Linked DNA regions of Callithrix jacchus. The protein of the gene in region 1 interacts with the protein of each later gene in a biochemical or structural test. Links are inferred from orthologs where the notes say so. Each region holds a gene or a part of one and is shown in the gene's direction. Other genes may lie near its edges.

Region 1 (4,289 bases):
AGGAAAACCAGTTTTACACAGATACTGTTTGACAAGTCTGTGCCCTGTCTGTGAAGGACAAAGTGCCTGATCTGGTGCTTGAAGCAGTACTTAAACGTGTGTTTAGGAAGCTAAGAATGAAAATGATGAGGTGACTTATTTTTTTCATTTAAAATTATTACCTTGTATCACACTTAGCGTGTGTATATCTCATCATGCCTCCAGCTCACCCCCACTTAGCTACCTTACAGCTGAGGCTGGTCCTGATTTATCCCCCTGTACTTGATGTGCCCAGCACAAGACCTTAACAGTAGGTGGTCTCTAAGTGCCAAAACAGATTTGTATGTGAAACAGTTGGTACATTCTGACAAATCTGAATAGAACAATTCCAAAGGAGGAAACGGAAATCTAGAGTTACCTCTGTCTGAGCATCCCCTTGTTCACTCAGTTGGAGGTTGGGTTCTGGGTGGAGAAAAGGAGACAGGTCAGAGAAAGGAAGTCTATTACAACTACATTTGAATTGCCCTCCTGCTCAGTCCAAGGTCTCTTTCTAACATTGAGTTCTAAGTTCCTGGCCCTGTGTCCTTTAATCAAACAGTTCTAATAGAAAATAGGAAATGAGAGGTGCCACTAGATTGGGCAGACAAATATGCCTGATATTTACACTGGGAGAGCAGAGTGGCCAGCGAGTGCCTACTAAGTTTTAAGCCCTAGCCTAGGAACTGGGCTTTGCAGCAGTGAAGACAACAAACGAAAAATCTTTGCATTCATGGTGCTTAAATTCTGCCGAGTAGGGAGCGGAGAATAAACAAGTACAGTAGATAGTATGTCAGATAGTGTTCAATGTTAGCAAGAAAAGGAATGGGAATGGCCAAGGAAAGCGTTTCAGAGAAGATAACATTTGAGTGAAATAATGAAGTGAGGCCGGGCGCGGTGGCTCACGCCTGTAAATCCCAGCACTTTGCAAAGCTGAGGTGGGCGGATCGCATGAGGTCAGGAGTTCGAGACCAGCCTGGCCAATAAGCTTGCCCAACATAGTGAAACTCTTATCTCTACCAAAAATACAAAAATTTGCCGGACGTGGTGCCGCATGCCTGTAATCCCAGCTAATTGGGAGGCAAAGGCAGGAAAATAGCTTGAACCTGGGAGGCTGAGGCTACAATGAGCCGAGATGGCGACAGACCGAGATTCCATTTCAAAAAAATAAGTGAGAGAAAGTGGCATGTTACGTACCATAACTGTCTTCTCAATTATATATGTATAGATTGTAGGCAGTTTGTCCCGTCTGGCCTAGTCACACAGCTCAGGAAAAAATAATGAAAGAGCTTCGCCAGGTAATTTGGGACTCCGGGCCTCTAAAACCAGGCAGAAAATAACAGTATCTTATCCCTAATTCCATGGTTCTCAGGCGAAAGGGGGAAAATACCCAAAACACAGTAAGTGAAGCTTCCTGGCCCTTTAAAAATGGCGGTTCCGCACTGGCCAACAATACCATTGGTTGCTCGAGGCAGAAGAGGGCGGGAGCGAAGGGGTGGGGGGCGTGGCTGCGCCGAAGGGGTCCCGCCTCCTACGGCAAGTCGGAGGTAGCAAGATGGCGGCCGCTGAGGAAGACTGTGGTGTCGGGGCCGAAACGGACAGGGAATTGGAGGAGCTTCTGGAAAGTAAGAGCTCATAGTGGGAAGGACCCGAAGGGGGCAGGTGTGAGGACCCATTCAGAAGGTTAAGTTAACCTGAGATATTAGGGAAGGGGCAGGAGAGGCTCTCCAAAGGCTAGATGGGGGCGGAGAGTGACCGCGAGCCCCCCAAAAATCTCTGGGTCATCCTGCCCTACCTCCGCGACTGGAGCTGGGGAGCTCAACCAGGGGTCCCTCAGTGGTCTAGATTGTGGATCTTAACGGAGGATGGTGTTTCACGATACCTCTCCAAACTCCTCTTTCTTTAGGTTACTAAGTTTTTAAAGTCCAACTTCCCTCCCTTCAGCAGCGGCAGCAGCATTGGGTAGCGAACCACATATTCTCTGATTGCTTACATTAACTCCCAGCAAGCTTGTGGCCCGTCCTTCTGTGTCTCATCCTGTCTTCCTTAGCACCAAAGACACTTTTCTCCTCGTAGTCTTTTTTTCTCTCTCGCTAGGCCCCTTACAGTTACTTCATCTTGTCAGTAGCTCAAGCGGACTCCTTTCCCTTATTTTCAGAAACTGAGGATAAGGTGATTTCAGGGGAAAGCAGTTCACCCTCCTGAAAGACGGTGGTGGTTTTCTTAGCATTATTCTCCACTCCCCTGTTGGTTTCCTGCCCAGAGTGGGGCCAGTGCCCTCTCCCTAGGCCTGGCATGCAGAGTGGTGGTGAGGACACAGGCTTTTCAGGGCAGAGGTGAATTTGTAATCTCTAGTTCAGTCACAGAAATGTGGGCAGACAGAAAAATAAACTGAAACTCTGAGGAGTGCCAGATGACTGTGTGAATTAGTGTATGGTTATCTGCAGAGATCAGGCCAAAGGGAGCTCTAGGAGGTTGTGGGGGAGCACTCGACTGGAGAATAAGAGAAGAGAGTTTAATGCCTTCACATGGAGTGCAGTATGTAGTCCCTCAGTCTGTGCTGATACCAGTACCAACAGGAAGCTGGGTGGGATCTTGTGCTTTCTCACCAAGTTATTCCTTTTAGAGCTCCAGACTGAGTTCAGAGGGATGAGGACATATGTGTTCTCTACTCCTGCTGGGTATTCGTATGGGATTTTTAGGGATTCATTAGGGTGTGGCAAGGGAGACACTATAAATGGAGATGTGTCTGCAGAACTTTTTAATCCTCTCCCAACTCTGAGATGGACACTTGTTTGCCTTAAGGGATTTCTTTGCCTTTGCTCACAGTAAATTACATAATCCAGAGGGAAGTAGGTGACTCGTTGGGGTGGTTCGGGGAGGTGGGGGAATTTGAAAAATCATATTCCTAATGCTTTGTCCAGAAACCACCCACCTTTGCTTGCATCCTTATCTATCATCAACACACACACCATGTCTCTTGTCTCTGAAGGTGCTCTTGATGATTTCGATAAAGCCAAACCCTCCCCAGCACCCCCTTCTACCACCACAGCCCCTGATGCTTCGGGGCCCCAGAAGAGATCGCCAGGAGACACTGCCAAAGTATAAATTCTACCCCAATTAAGGGATGGGGAGGGGATGGGGATGCAGCTCTGAGCAGATGTTGGGCAGGCCCCTATGGGCCAGAGGGGAATGGGGGAGGGTAAGTTGGCCTCACATTGGTGAGTGCTGTTGCCAGCCTCAGCCCTTGTGAAATAAGGACTTGAAGTTGAGCAGAGGACTCTCAAGAGACTTCCTTGAAAAAAGAGGAGGTTTAAATGGTTGGATTAGTATGCCATCTCATACCTTCCTTCAATGGCTAGATGCCTTTTTTGCTGTCCTCATTAGGAGCAGTAGTTAGGAATGTCCAGTGGAAGTGGGCAGGAGGGAGGTGCTACATTTCCCAGAGCCACTGCCTGTGGCTTCTGTCAGAGGCCAGATGCAGTGTAGTCCTAAGTAAGAGACACATTTCAGCCACCCTTCCCCTGCAGGATGCCCTCTTCGCTTCCCAAGAGAAGTTTTTCCAGGAACTATTCGACAGTGAACTGGCTTCCCAAGCCACTGCAGAGTTCGAGAAAGCAATGAAGGAGTTGGCTGAGGAAGAGCCCCATCTGGTGGAGCAGTTCCAAAAGCTCTCAGAGGCTGCAGGGAGAGTGGGTGAGGAGACCCCAGATAAACAGAAACATCTGAACAGACTCTTAAGTCTTTGTTGCTTGAAAACACCAGAAATCTTAGTAAAGTTGATAGCAATCATGACGTCACAATCATGGGATGAGGAAATGCAATGGGAGAAGGGATGGGAACCCCTCTTCATGAAGAGGTGTGAGATAGGTTGGAAAGTAATAGCAAAGATTATTCAAAACTGACCGTTTGAAAGGTCCCGGTGTTATGGTGGGTGCCATCATGGAGAATAAACTGAAACAGAGTTCGTGTATTAAATAGATGTATGAAAAGACTATGAAGATAACCATAGCATTTTCAAGATGTGGAGTGATCATGATTCACTAGTAAATGCTTCATATCCAAGCAGTTAACCAGTTCAGTCTAGGCAAGAAAACAATTAAACTCCTAAATGACCTTGGCTTTTTTTTTTAATCTTTCCTAGGCAGTGATATGACCTCCCAGCAAGAATTTACTTCTTGCCTAAAGGAGACACTAAGTGGATTAGCCAAAAATGCTACTGACCTTCAGGTGAGGAGAAAGTAGTAGGGCCCACAAGGGGTCCACTCCCAGAT
Region 2 (4,162 bases), on another chromosome or scaffold:
CCCTCCAACACGTGTGTCAACACGTCTAGAGCCACCTCTCCCAACAATCCCTGTCTCAGGGAGCCACAGACTCCCGACGCCCGTTTAACTGGAAAGGTGTTCTTCGGAAGAGCAGTACCAGGGCGCCAACAAGACGCCTTGGCACCAATCGGGCCCTCCCTTCCCCGCCAGGCGGAGCTCAGCTGCAGAGGCGGGAGCTCTGCGAGCCCAAATCCCTGCTATCAGGAGGGCCCTGGGCCGCACCTCGTCCTAGCGCTGCTGACGCCCCCGCCCCCCCCCACCTTCCCCACGGCGCCTGCGAGAGAATCCAGCACCTCCCTCGGGGCTCAAGCAGCCTTCCGCCCGGGGCCGCTCCGCCTCCGGTGGGCTGGAGGCCCGCAAGAGCGACTCCTAGAGGATAGGAGTCGGGGCCAGGCGCAAAGGCAGGTCTCGATCGAGCACCTCAAGGCCTCGTACAGAGAAAGTTCTACACGCAGTTTTCTCAGAAGCTAGGGCCCCTTCCAGCAGCCCCGGCCGGCCACAGCGCCCACCAAGAGCGAGAGCCGGCCACGCGCTCCGGAGGCCCCCCAACGTGGCTCCGGCAGGGCACAGCGTCCCCGAGGCCCAGCCCGGCCGCTCCTACAGATGGGGCTTCGCCACCCCCCGCCCCGCCCCGCCCCCGAGCCCAGATCCTACAGATGCCGCCCAGTTTCCCCTCGCCCCTGCCCCTCCCAGGTAGGCTGCGGGCCCCGAGATTCCCCGGCCCCCGGGCCTCCCAGCGCTGCTCGCCTCTCTCCCTCATCGAGGAGCCTGGGAGCCTCGGCAGCCCCGGAGCCCAGCCCGGCGCGCGGAGCCCGCTCACCGAGTTTCCCACACTCAGTCCGCAAGCCCCACCGCAGCCGCCAAACTCTCCCACAGCAGCCCCAGTCCCAGCCCCGCCCCTTACCCCACGGCCGGAAACCGGAAGCGCCCCCCGGTCACCGCCCACTAGCCCTCGCGAGGCCTCAGAGGCTCCGTTCCCCGCCTCTTCCCGCCCCGCCCCCAAACGGAGGGCCAGCGCCCCGGGCGTGAGAGGAAGCGGCGCCTCTGGCTCCGGGCGCGCGGGGCGGGGAGAAGGGCGGGGTGAAGCGGGCACGCGGACAGGGCGGGGCTTTGGCGGGCCGGCTAGGGCCGCTTCTCTAGCCCGCGCGGCCATCGCCCCCGCCGTGGGGCGAGAACGGGGTGGGGCTCCCGCTCCCGGACTCCGCCCCTCTCCCCTCCTCCGCCTCCTCCCCTTCCCCCGACTCGCCCCTGGGGAGGGGTGAGTGGGCGGGGATTCTGGGCCAGTGGAGGAGTCACAGTCGCTTCAACCAGGCTGCGGAACGGACGGACGCGCCTGGTGCCCCGGGGAGGGGCGCCACCAGGGGAGGAGGAGGAGAAGGTGGAGAGGAAGAGACGCCCTCTCTCCCCGAGACCTCTCAAGGTTCTGACCTCAGGGGCCAGGGCACTGACAAGACAGGAGAACCAAGTTCCTCAACTTGGGCTGCCCGAAGAGGCCTCGACCCTGGAGGGCCCTGAGCCCACTGCACCAGGGGCCCCAGCACCACCCCGGGGGCCTAAAGCGACAGTCTCAGGGGCCACCGCAAGGTTTCCAGTTGCCTAGACAACAGGCCCAGGGTCCGAGCAACAACCCTTCCAGCCACCTGCCTCAACTGCTGCCCCAGGCACCAGCCCCAGCCCCAGCTCCAGCCAGCCCAGGTGACATGCCGGTGCTCTCCATGCCCCGGCCCTGGCGGGGGAGCACGCTGAAGCGCACGGCGGTGCTCCTGGCCCTCGCGGCCTATGGAGCCCACAAAGCCTACCCCTTGGTGCGCCAGTGCCTGGCCGTGGCCAGGGGTCCTCAAGCTCCCGCCAGGGACCCCACACAGGAGGCCTCCGGGGCCGCGGCGGCCAAGACCGGCATGAACCGGGTATTCCTGCAGCGGCTCCTGTGGCTCCTGCGGCTGCTGTTCCCGCGGGTCCTGTGCCGGGAGACAGGGCTGCTGGCCCTGCACTCGGCCGCCCTGGTGAGCCGCACTTTCCTGTCTGTGTATGTGGCCCGCCTGGACGGAAGGCTGGCCCGCTGCATCGTGCGCAAGGACCCTCGGGCCTTCGGCTGGCAGCTGCTACAGTGGCTCCTCATCGCCCTCCCTGCCACCTTCGTCAACAGTGCCATCCGCTACCTGGAGGGCCAACTGGCCCTGTCTTTCCGCAGCCGTCTGGTGGCCCACGCCTACAGCCTCTACTTCTCCCAGCAGACCTACTACCGAGTCAGCAACATGGATGGGCGGCTTCGCAACCCTGACCAGTCTCTGACAGAGGACGTGGTGGCCTTCGCGGCCTCTGTGGCCCACCTCTACTCCAACCTGACCAAGCCACTCCTGGATGTGGCCGTGACTTCCTACACCCTGCTTCGGGCTGCCCGCTCCCGTGGGGCCGGCACAGCCTGGCCCTCGGCCATTGCCGGCCTCGTGGTGTTCCTAACCGCCAACGTGCTGCGGGCCTTCTCGCCCAAGTTCGGGGAGCTGGTGGCAGAGGAGGCACGGCGGAAGGGGGAGCTGCGCTACATGCACTCCCGTGTGGTGGCCAACTCGGAGGAGATCGCCTTCTACGGGGGCCATGAGGTGGGGCAGGTTGGGGTGCTGGGCATGGAGGGAAACGTTTGGCAGGGAGGCCCGGGGCAGGCAGTCGTGAGCGGTGGGGACAGCCCGGGACAGGCCAGGGCTGATGCCAAAGGTGTGGGCAGGCCATGAGAGAGCAGGGCTGGGGTGGGCAGGGCCTTGGGCCACTGTGGACTCAGGCGCGGTAGTGGAGAGGCAGGAAGGCTGGGTGGGGACTGTCCTGTGCTGGTTGCCTGCATGCTCCAGGCCACTTCTGCTTCCTCTCCTCCTCAAGGAGGTTGTCCTGGCCTTAGAGCTTCGATCCTAGCGGTTTGAGCATTGAGAGCTCCTGCCCGCCCCACTCCTGGAGGCAGCTAGGAGGAGATGCCTGCCATTCATGAGTGGCGACCGCCGGACGCAGCCTGCTACTCAGCCCCTCCTGGGCCCCTGGGCCCTTTGAAGGCCGGCGTCCAGCAGAGCTGGCCAGCCAGGCAGGCGAGCATTATGGGCATGACTCAGCCCAAGCGGAGGTTAATGAGCAGTGCCCAGTGCAGCAGTAGGACTTGGGGTCAAGGCCACCCCCTCCTGAGCCCACGGGCCTGCCCAGCTACCAACTGGCTCAGCTGCCTTCCTGGGCCACCAGACCAGAGATGCCGGCCCCAGGCTGCCACTACGGCGGGACACACTTCCTGCTCCTGGCAGGCCGGGGCGGGCAGGCTAGGCAGGCGCTGGGAAAGGTTATTCCAGGTCAGCGCTCCCTTCATCTCGGATCGGCCCCTCCCCTTCCCCATGCCTAGGGTTGCAGCTGCCTTGAGCCCGTCTCTCTGCGACTCAGTTTCAGTTCCCTAGTGCTTCTTGGGAGGAAGGGCACAATGGCATTTATCCCCTGAAGGCCTGTGTGTGCTCCCTGAGTCAGGTGACCTCTTGCCCTGGGACCTGGACTCACTGACTGTGCACCAGCAGAGAAGCAGGCTTGTCCCCAAACTCCACGGAGAGGGGCATCCCGGGTGTGGGCCAGACTGCAGATTCAGAGAAAAGGCACCTGGACTTCAGCCACCACCCCGGCTTCCCTCTGCTCTTCTCCCGCATGCTGGGCTGCAGGGCCTTGGCAGGCAGCCGCAGCCTTGGGCGAGGCACTTGGCACATTCCCTGCAGCTACATTGTCAGCCTTGGCTGGCACCCCTGCCAGCTCCCAGCACGAGTCTGGATTGCCAGGGTGCTCACTTCAGGAATGGGAGATCGGGCTTGTGAGGAGCTGAGCTGTACAGGCTGACCTGGGTGGCAGGGGCAGAAGAGAGATCACTGGTTTTTTAAAGCCTTCATCTGAGCTAGCTTCAGGAAGTAGAGAGATCACTGGTTGTTTGAAGGCCTTCGTCTGGGCTAGCATGAGGAAGTAGTGTGTTGGCCAAGAGTTTGTTGGCTGGGGCAGGAGGGCCCCATGTGGGTCTGCGGCCTGTCTGCATAGGCCTCAGCTGGAAAGCTGTGTGGGGTGATAGGACCCCCCGATGGCTGGATGGCCCTTGCTGGGGCAGTTATATGGCCCGTGCCAGTCCTGCTGGCTGATG
Region 3 (3,629 bases), on another chromosome or scaffold:
AAATGTAGGTAGCTTGGCCACACAGGACCAGCTCTGCCAATTTTTCTCTCACCAAATATCCCCGACATAGCCCACAAAATGGCAGCCTCAGCCTCCCTTAGCACAAGATGGATCATTTCCTATCTTATCAGTAAAATAATCTCCATACCTCTATGAAGTTCCTAATTATGAAACTGTGCCACGAGAGATTAAATTATATAAGAATGTGGAAGTATCTTTAAAATATTTCTTCTATCAAAGAGGTGTTTTAAAAAATGTTTTTAAACTTTAATTATTGAGAAACTTTACTTACGTAGAAGAACTCATTCTCAGAGGATGTTGTATTAATGAATTGCTATTGTATTTCCTTTATTTTCCTTAGTTTTCCTACATCCTTTGAATGTTGACTTTCTTTCCTCAGCTTCCTTTCCTTACTCCCATACAGAAATAGTATTCCTTACTATTTATTTAGGAGTCACAGTGAATTATAAAGATAAATTAAATACATGCAACAGCATGTCTTCCTTTATAGTTAATATACATCCAGAATATAAAAAATATACAAGAATATTTTCCTAAAAATCAGATTAATGACTTTGGGTTTAAAAAAAAAATCACAGTATTTAAATTCTTGATATGTCCTTAAAACTCAAATGTAAAGCAGCACCTACTTAAAATTTGCCTCTGAGTATCAATTTGGATGATAAACCTACAACTAAAATGACTTTTCAAAATTATGGCTAATAATTTTATTTCATTTTAATTATGCAGGAAATACCATACACATTTATTACAGTTTGATGGTGAAGGAGGTTGGCGCTTTGAACAATTGGATACTGCTATCCGTTTGACATTGAGTGAAGAAAAACAAAAGCTAGAATCTCAGCTAGCTGGAATTCCCAAAATGCAGCAGAGACTCAATGAACTATGTAAAATTTTGGGAGAAGATTCAGTGCTGAAAACAATTAAAAATGAAGATGAGACATCTTAATTTGTTTTGACACATTTTAAAAGTTAATTATTAAATAAAGCCTCAAAGACACTCTGTTATATTGCATGAAGTATGTTAAGCTAAGCACAGATTAGAAAAAGGCAGCAAGACATGTTTTATAAGGTTTTAGTATTAAGGAAGTATATGATCTGACTTTTCAGAAGAAAAATAAACAAATTCATTATGTAAGATCAGTCATTATGACTTATACTAATTCCTAGTGAAGGCCTAATACACTTGTAAAGCAGGATTTTCTAGGTGAATTCACGATGAATACCAGATTTACTATGTATATGTGATGTGTCTGAAGTTCTTAACAAACATGGGAGATATTCTGGAAAAGAAAAAAGTTTAGAGCAGCATTTGGGTTGATACCAAGTGCATAAAATTAGAACTTTGGGTAACATTTAGTCCATTTATAGTTGATACTAGGTTTAACAGCTAGAATTCATATTGATCATTGCTAGCAGCCAACTAAACAAAACAGCTGACAGTTTGATAAATAATTTCAATATAAAAATTGTTTCAATGGCAGTGGTTCAAAGAAAAAAGCATGGCTAAAATGTATAAAACACCGTATTTTAAAAATTTAGACTTTAAACATCTTAATGAGGACATATAATAAATTAATTTTAGTAGGAATCCAAAATATTTTTAATAAGCCCTTTCATTTTAAAAGAGAATTGCCAATACAGAAAAGGAGTATCCAAACAATGTTTGTCTCAGCCTGATAATTTACTTGATAGAATTATCTATTGTAACTTCTGTTCAGAAATACACAGCTTGTTTTTTTGCCCAAGAATGAGATTCCACATTTTAAGAATTGCAGTGATATAATAGAATTTAAGGATTCTGAGAATCACAGTAATCATATACATTGGAATAGTACTTTATAATTTACAATCTCCATTTACATCACTTCACTTTAATTCTCGTGGCAATGTTTTGAGACAGATATTATTTTTCCTACTTTGCTTTTGAGAGAATTAACACTAAGACTTGCCCTAATCATGCAATTTATTTGAGGAAAGATCCAGAAATCAAATGAAGTGTTCTTTACTCCCTGGTTTAGTACTCTTTGTTATTATTTTTTAAATCAAACTAGGCTATAATAGCAACAAAAGTTAGATGAGGTGTTGAAAATAAAATAAATTTGGTAATGGTAGTCTTATTGTTATTTGTTTATTGTTTAGAAGAAATAAAAATTAAGTACAAAGTGCAAAGATCATTGTTCTGTGGTTTAAAATGAACCAAGAAAGTTATGAAATCATTTAGCAACTATGCAGTCTTACTTAATATGAACATACCTCTAAGGCATCAGCAATCAGAAGAGCAAATAATCATGGTTTTGGTAAATTTAATATTTATTGAACATAATGAGAAATAATCTGCATGGACTAGCCATATGAAATAGATCTTATTCTATTTGTGTGCACTGGAGTTGGAAGTACAAAAGCTAAGACTGAAACTTCAATCTCTTGCTGCCTATGACACCACTTTGGTAGGCCAGAAGAATATTGGAATGATCAGTTGTTAGCGGCCTAGAATTTTATTGCCTGTTGAGACACAGCCATAATAAATGTTAACTCTGTGATTCTTAGCCCTTCTCAAGTGATAGAGTACCTGGAAGTCATTCATAATGGTCATTATAGAACATCATAACATTTTCACATTTTCAATTCTACTGTGATAACGAGTGCATTTTTAATTGTCAATAAATGTAACCAACTTACATGAAGTAATGCAATATAAAATCATAATCAATACATTTGTCCAACATTTTCTGTTAGTATCATCACTTACTTATTCATCAGTTACTAATATTTCCTGCTAGAAAAGTGAGGCAGGTTTTAAAGATTTTAAGAAGCATGGAACCAACACTTAACCTTGCTAAAAATTATTCATTAATCTTTTCTACAAAAGTAGTTATCCAGTTTATACTGCTGTAAGGGGAAAAGTCTGAGGCAAGTGTCTTAAGTTAACTGTTAAAGTAAAGAAGAAAATGAAAAATCCTCATGTGAAAGATGTGTATAATTTTCATGCCTTAATTTTCATAATATAAAAATAAAACATAATTTTTAAAACCCTGATATTTTGTTTTGAAACATTGAAAAGAACGTCAAAACAAATATTAGATTTGTAATTAGTCATTATTTAATATATTTTATCAGTGAACTAAAGCAAAAAAGACTCATTATTTATAATGTACAGGATTCAAATATGTCTAAAACTCTGCATTAAAAACTATATACACTGTAATTTAAATGTTAAAGTTCTAATAGAAACATGTTTTCCATGAGCTTTTTGTGCCTATTTGTTTTATAAATTTATTTTTCAGGACCTTAACTTGGAGGGGAAAAAATCTCTGCTTTGAACTTGTATTTATATACCATTCAGTTGTTTCCAAATGATCCAATGGATATATCATATTTTACTATTCTTATAGTTATATTTTATGAAAAATACTGAGAAACTAGCCATTTTGAATATAGCAAGAAATAGATGAGGAAAGGAAAAAGGAATGTTTCAAGTTTCAAACTGCTTTTACCATGTTGTATCTATTTGCCAAAACATTTTATATTTTTGGTCAGAAAAAAAAGCTGTAAGTTTATGGAGCTTGATTATAAAATGTGTATTCTTTAGTTTAACTCCTAAACTT
Region 4 (3,629 bases), on another chromosome or scaffold:
TGGGGAGTAGCTGCTAATGAATATGGGGATTCTTTTTTGAGGTGATGAAAATATTCTGAATTAGACATGGTGATAGTTACACACTTCTGTGAGTATACTGAAAACTATTAAACTTTAGGCCGGGCATGGTGGCTCACGCCTGTAATCCAAGCGCTTTGAAGACCAAGGCGGGCGGATCACCCGAGGTTGCGGGTTTGAGACCGGCCCGACCAACATGGTGAAACGCTGTCTTTAAATAAATTTTAAACATTAAAATGATGGCTAGGTGCAGTGGCTCACTCCTGTAATCCCAGCACTTTGGGAAACCAAGGTGGGTGGATTGTTTGAGCCCAGAAGTTTGAGACCAGCCTGGGCAACATGACAAAACCCCATCTCTATAAAAAATTTTAAAAAGTAGCCAGGTTTGATGGCATTCACCTTTAGTGCCAGCTGCTTTGGAGGCTGAGGTGGGAGGATCACTTGAGCCTAGGAGGTTGAGGCTACAGTGAGCTTTGATTGTGCTACTGTGTTACAGCCTGGGCAACAGAGTGAGACTCTGTCTCTAGATCAGTAGAATTTGTCACAGCACTAGGTATATAGGAGGTGTTTTATAGTTACTTTGAATTGAATTTATTGTACGCTTAAATAACTGTTTTGAATCTTCTTTGGTTTTAGATCTGCTGATTTGGGTCCTACTTTAATGACAAGACCAGGACAACCAGCACTTACCAGAGTGCCCCCACCTGTTCTTCCAAGGCCATCACAGCAGACAGGAAGTAGCAGTGTGAACACCTTCAGACCTGCTTACAGTTCATTTTCTTCTGGATATGGTGCCTATGGAAATTCATTTTATGGAAGCTATAGCCCTTATAGTTATGGATATAATGGGCTGGGCTACAACCGCCTCCGTGTAGATGATCTTCCACCCAGTAGATTTGTTCAGCAAGCTGAAGAAAGCAGCAGGGGTGCATTTCAGTCCATTGAAAGTATTGTGCATGCTTTTGCCTCTGTCAGTATGATGATGGATGCTACCTTTTCAGCTGTCTATAACAGTTTCAGGGCTGTATTGGATGTAGCAAATCACTTTTCCCGATTGAAAATACACTTTACAAAAGTGTTTTCAGCTTTTGCATTAGTTAGGACTATACGGTATCTTTACAGACGGTTACAGTGGATGTTAGGTTTAAGAAGAAGCTCTGAGAATGAGGACCTCTGGGCAGAAAGTGAAGGAACTGTGGCATACCTTGGTGCTGAGGACCAAGCAGCTAACTCAGCAAAATCTTGGCCAATATTCTTGTTCTTTGCCGTTACTCTTGGTGGTCCTTACCTCATTTGGAAATTGTTGTCAACTCACAGTGACGAACTAACAGGTAAGGGAACACGTTCAGATACTATATAACAATCTCAAATTTCAAGAACAGATTTGTTAAATTAGTTTTCTTTATATTCATTTGTATTTACTGTTTTGGTCCAGTTATATTTTCAGTTAAGAGCTTCAAAACTGGCAGAGAAATATATAGCAAAAATAGGTTTGCTGATTAGTTTATTGTTCAGTTAAACAGTACATATTACCTTACTGTTTACAAGTTACTGAACTTGGTGCTGTAGAGGATACAAAGCTTCATAGAGCATAATTCCTGTCTTTCTAAAATGTGTTGGAAGGGAGGTGGTGTAAGACACAAATACTTCATTAATTGTAATGAAGCAGAAAGTGTGATAAGAAATACGACAGTTGGGGAGAGATGTAAGGTTTCTTGAAACCTTTTTTAATATGTGAGACACTGCGCACGGTATTTTGTGTGTTGTATCTCAATTATTTCAACAACCCAAAGAGATAGAAATTATCCTCATTTTACAAGTGATAAAACTGAGATTCAGAGACTCGCTTATCCAGGGTCACATATTTAATAAGGCAGAACTATAAACAAAACCAGGTCTGCTTCAATGTTAAGCTGTATTCTCTCAACTGGTACAGAGTATTAGCTCACTTTAGAAGAGGGAAGCTATCATTTTTGACTGTGGTATCCAGGAAGAAATGGCATCTAAGTTACATTTTTGAAAGCTAGGCAACCTTTCATCAGTTAAATAAAGAAACGAAAACTATCAAGCTGATAGACCAGCTTGAACAAAAGTACATAGGCAGAAAATAAGAGATTTGTTTGGCAGTTGTCCTATATAGTATTAAGAAATAATATGAGAAATTAGGTTGAAAGCTAATAGTAGAAGCTCTTAATTGCCATTATGAAACAATCTTTACATAAGGAATGGATGGTTTTTTTAGCAGTTTATGTTTGTTTTTAAGTAGACTGTGTCGTACGTGTAAACAGTAAAGAAGTCAGTCTGAAGTGTTTAAGATATGTCAGTAAAAGTCAAAACAGGGGCCAGGTGTGGTGCTTAATCCCAGCACTTTGGGAGGCTGAGGCAGGCAGATCACGAGGTCAGGAGTTCAAGACCAGACGGGCCACCATGGTGAAACCCCATCTCTACTAAAAAATACAAAAATTAGTTTGGCATGGTGGCTCGTGCCTGTAATCCCAGCTACGGGAGAGTCTGAGGTAGGAGAATTGCTTGAACTGGGACCCAGGAGGCGGAGGTTGCAGTGAGCTGAGATTGCAACACTGCACTTCAGCCTGGGCTACGGAGCAAAACTCCATCTCAAAAAAAAAAAAAGTCAAAAGAGGTTGTAATTCATAAAGGATTTAGGTTATGTTCACCTTTGTATTCCTACTATCTAAGCTGCTTGGCAAATAGAAGGTACTTAATAGGTATTTTTTAATTTGGGGGTATCAGTTATGATACTTTTACCTTAGACTATTTGAAAGATAATGAAGACCCAAACTAGAGTGTGTGAGAAGCAGGATTGATATAATAGATTTAGTGGATGTAGTCACTGACTAAATGAGGTATATAAAGGCAAAGTAGAAATCAAAATACCCTAGACCTTTAAATTTGGGTTATTAGAGGGATAACATTTTATTCGTTAACTCAATAAATATTTGTTGGGCGCCAACTACATACCAAAGAGTTCTCAGAGCTAGGGATATAGCAATGAATAAAATGTATTTTAAAAATATCTGCCTTTGTGACAATCTAATAAGGGAGAAACAGTAAGAAAATAAATAAAATATATAGTAAGCCTGAAGGTGCTAAGTGCTACAGGGGAAAAAACAAAACAGGGAAGAATATTGGGAGTGTCAGGAGTAGGAACAGGGGTTGAACTGCACATACAGTCAGGGAATGCCTCCCTGAAGCAGTTGAGGGAATAAGCCCTACAGCTCTTTAAAGGAAGAGTGTTTTGAGGCATAGGGAACAGCAAAAGTACAGAGGTATTTAAGTGGCATGTCATGGGAACAGGAAGGAGGCCAGTGTGGTTGGAGCAAAGTGTTAGTGGCAGGAGATGAAGGCAGTAGATGGTATAAGTAATCCCAACACTGGGAGGCTGAGGCCTGCAGATCACTTGAGCCTGACAAATCATGCAAGCTAGTTTGGCCCTCTTTCTCACATGCACTCTCTTGCCATGTGATATGCCTTCTGCCATGTTATGACACAGCAAGAAGGCCCTTACCAAATGCAGAACCCTTGATCTAGGATTTTCTGACCTCTAGAACTGTGAGCAAATAAACTTTTATTGTTTACAAATTACCCAGTCT

Evidence for each region.
Region 2: the proteins of PEX19 (region 1) and ABCD1 form a complex in vitro, tested with the Homo sapiens proteins (3 studies listed by BioGRID and IntAct, with this or other methods). The link is inferred for Callithrix jacchus from reciprocal best matches to the Homo sapiens genes PEX19 and ABCD1.
Region 3: the proteins of PEX19 (region 1) and ABCD2 form a complex in vitro, tested with the Homo sapiens proteins (3 studies listed by BioGRID and IntAct, with this or other methods). The link is inferred for Callithrix jacchus from reciprocal best matches to the Homo sapiens genes PEX19 and ABCD2.
Region 4: the proteins of PEX19 (region 1) and PEX13 form a complex in vitro, tested with the Homo sapiens proteins (2 studies listed by BioGRID and IntAct, with this or other methods). The link is inferred for Callithrix jacchus from reciprocal best matches to the Homo sapiens genes PEX19 and PEX13.

What each region holds. Positions count from the first base shown.
Region 1 is NC_133519.1:20,233,258-20,237,546, reverse strand, and holds the start of PEX19 (peroxisomal biogenesis factor 19), read left to right. Parts: upstream 1-1,361; 5' UTR 1,362-1,376; coding exon 1,377-1,640; intron 1,641-3,007; coding exon of another isoform or gene 3,008-3,117; intron 3,118-3,545; coding exon 3,546-3,711; intron 3,712-4,159; coding exon 4,160-4,245; intron 4,246-4,289. UniProt on the Homo sapiens protein: Necessary for early peroxisomal biogenesis. Acts both as a cytosolic chaperone and as an import receptor for peroxisomal membrane proteins (PMPs).
Region 2 is NC_133524.1:149,644,648-149,648,809, forward strand, and holds the start of ABCD1 (ATP-binding cassette sub-family D member 1), read left to right. Parts: upstream 1-1,303; 5' UTR 1,304-1,721; coding exon 1,722-2,621; intron 2,622-4,162. UniProt on the Homo sapiens protein: ATP-dependent transporter of the ATP-binding cassette (ABC) family involved in the transport of very long chain fatty acid (VLCFA)-CoA from the cytosol to the peroxisome lumen.
Region 3 is NC_133510.1:36,194,129-36,197,757, forward strand, and holds part of ABCD2 (ATP-binding cassette sub-family D member 2), read left to right. Parts: intron 1-750; coding exon 751-970; 3' UTR 971-3,629.
Region 4 is NC_133515.1:53,106,825-53,110,453, reverse strand, and holds part of PEX13 (peroxisome biogenesis factor 13), read left to right. Parts: intron 1-654; coding exon 655-1,349; intron 1,350-3,629. UniProt on the Homo sapiens protein: Component of the PEX13-PEX14 docking complex, a translocon channel that specifically mediates the import of peroxisomal cargo proteins bound to PEX5 receptor.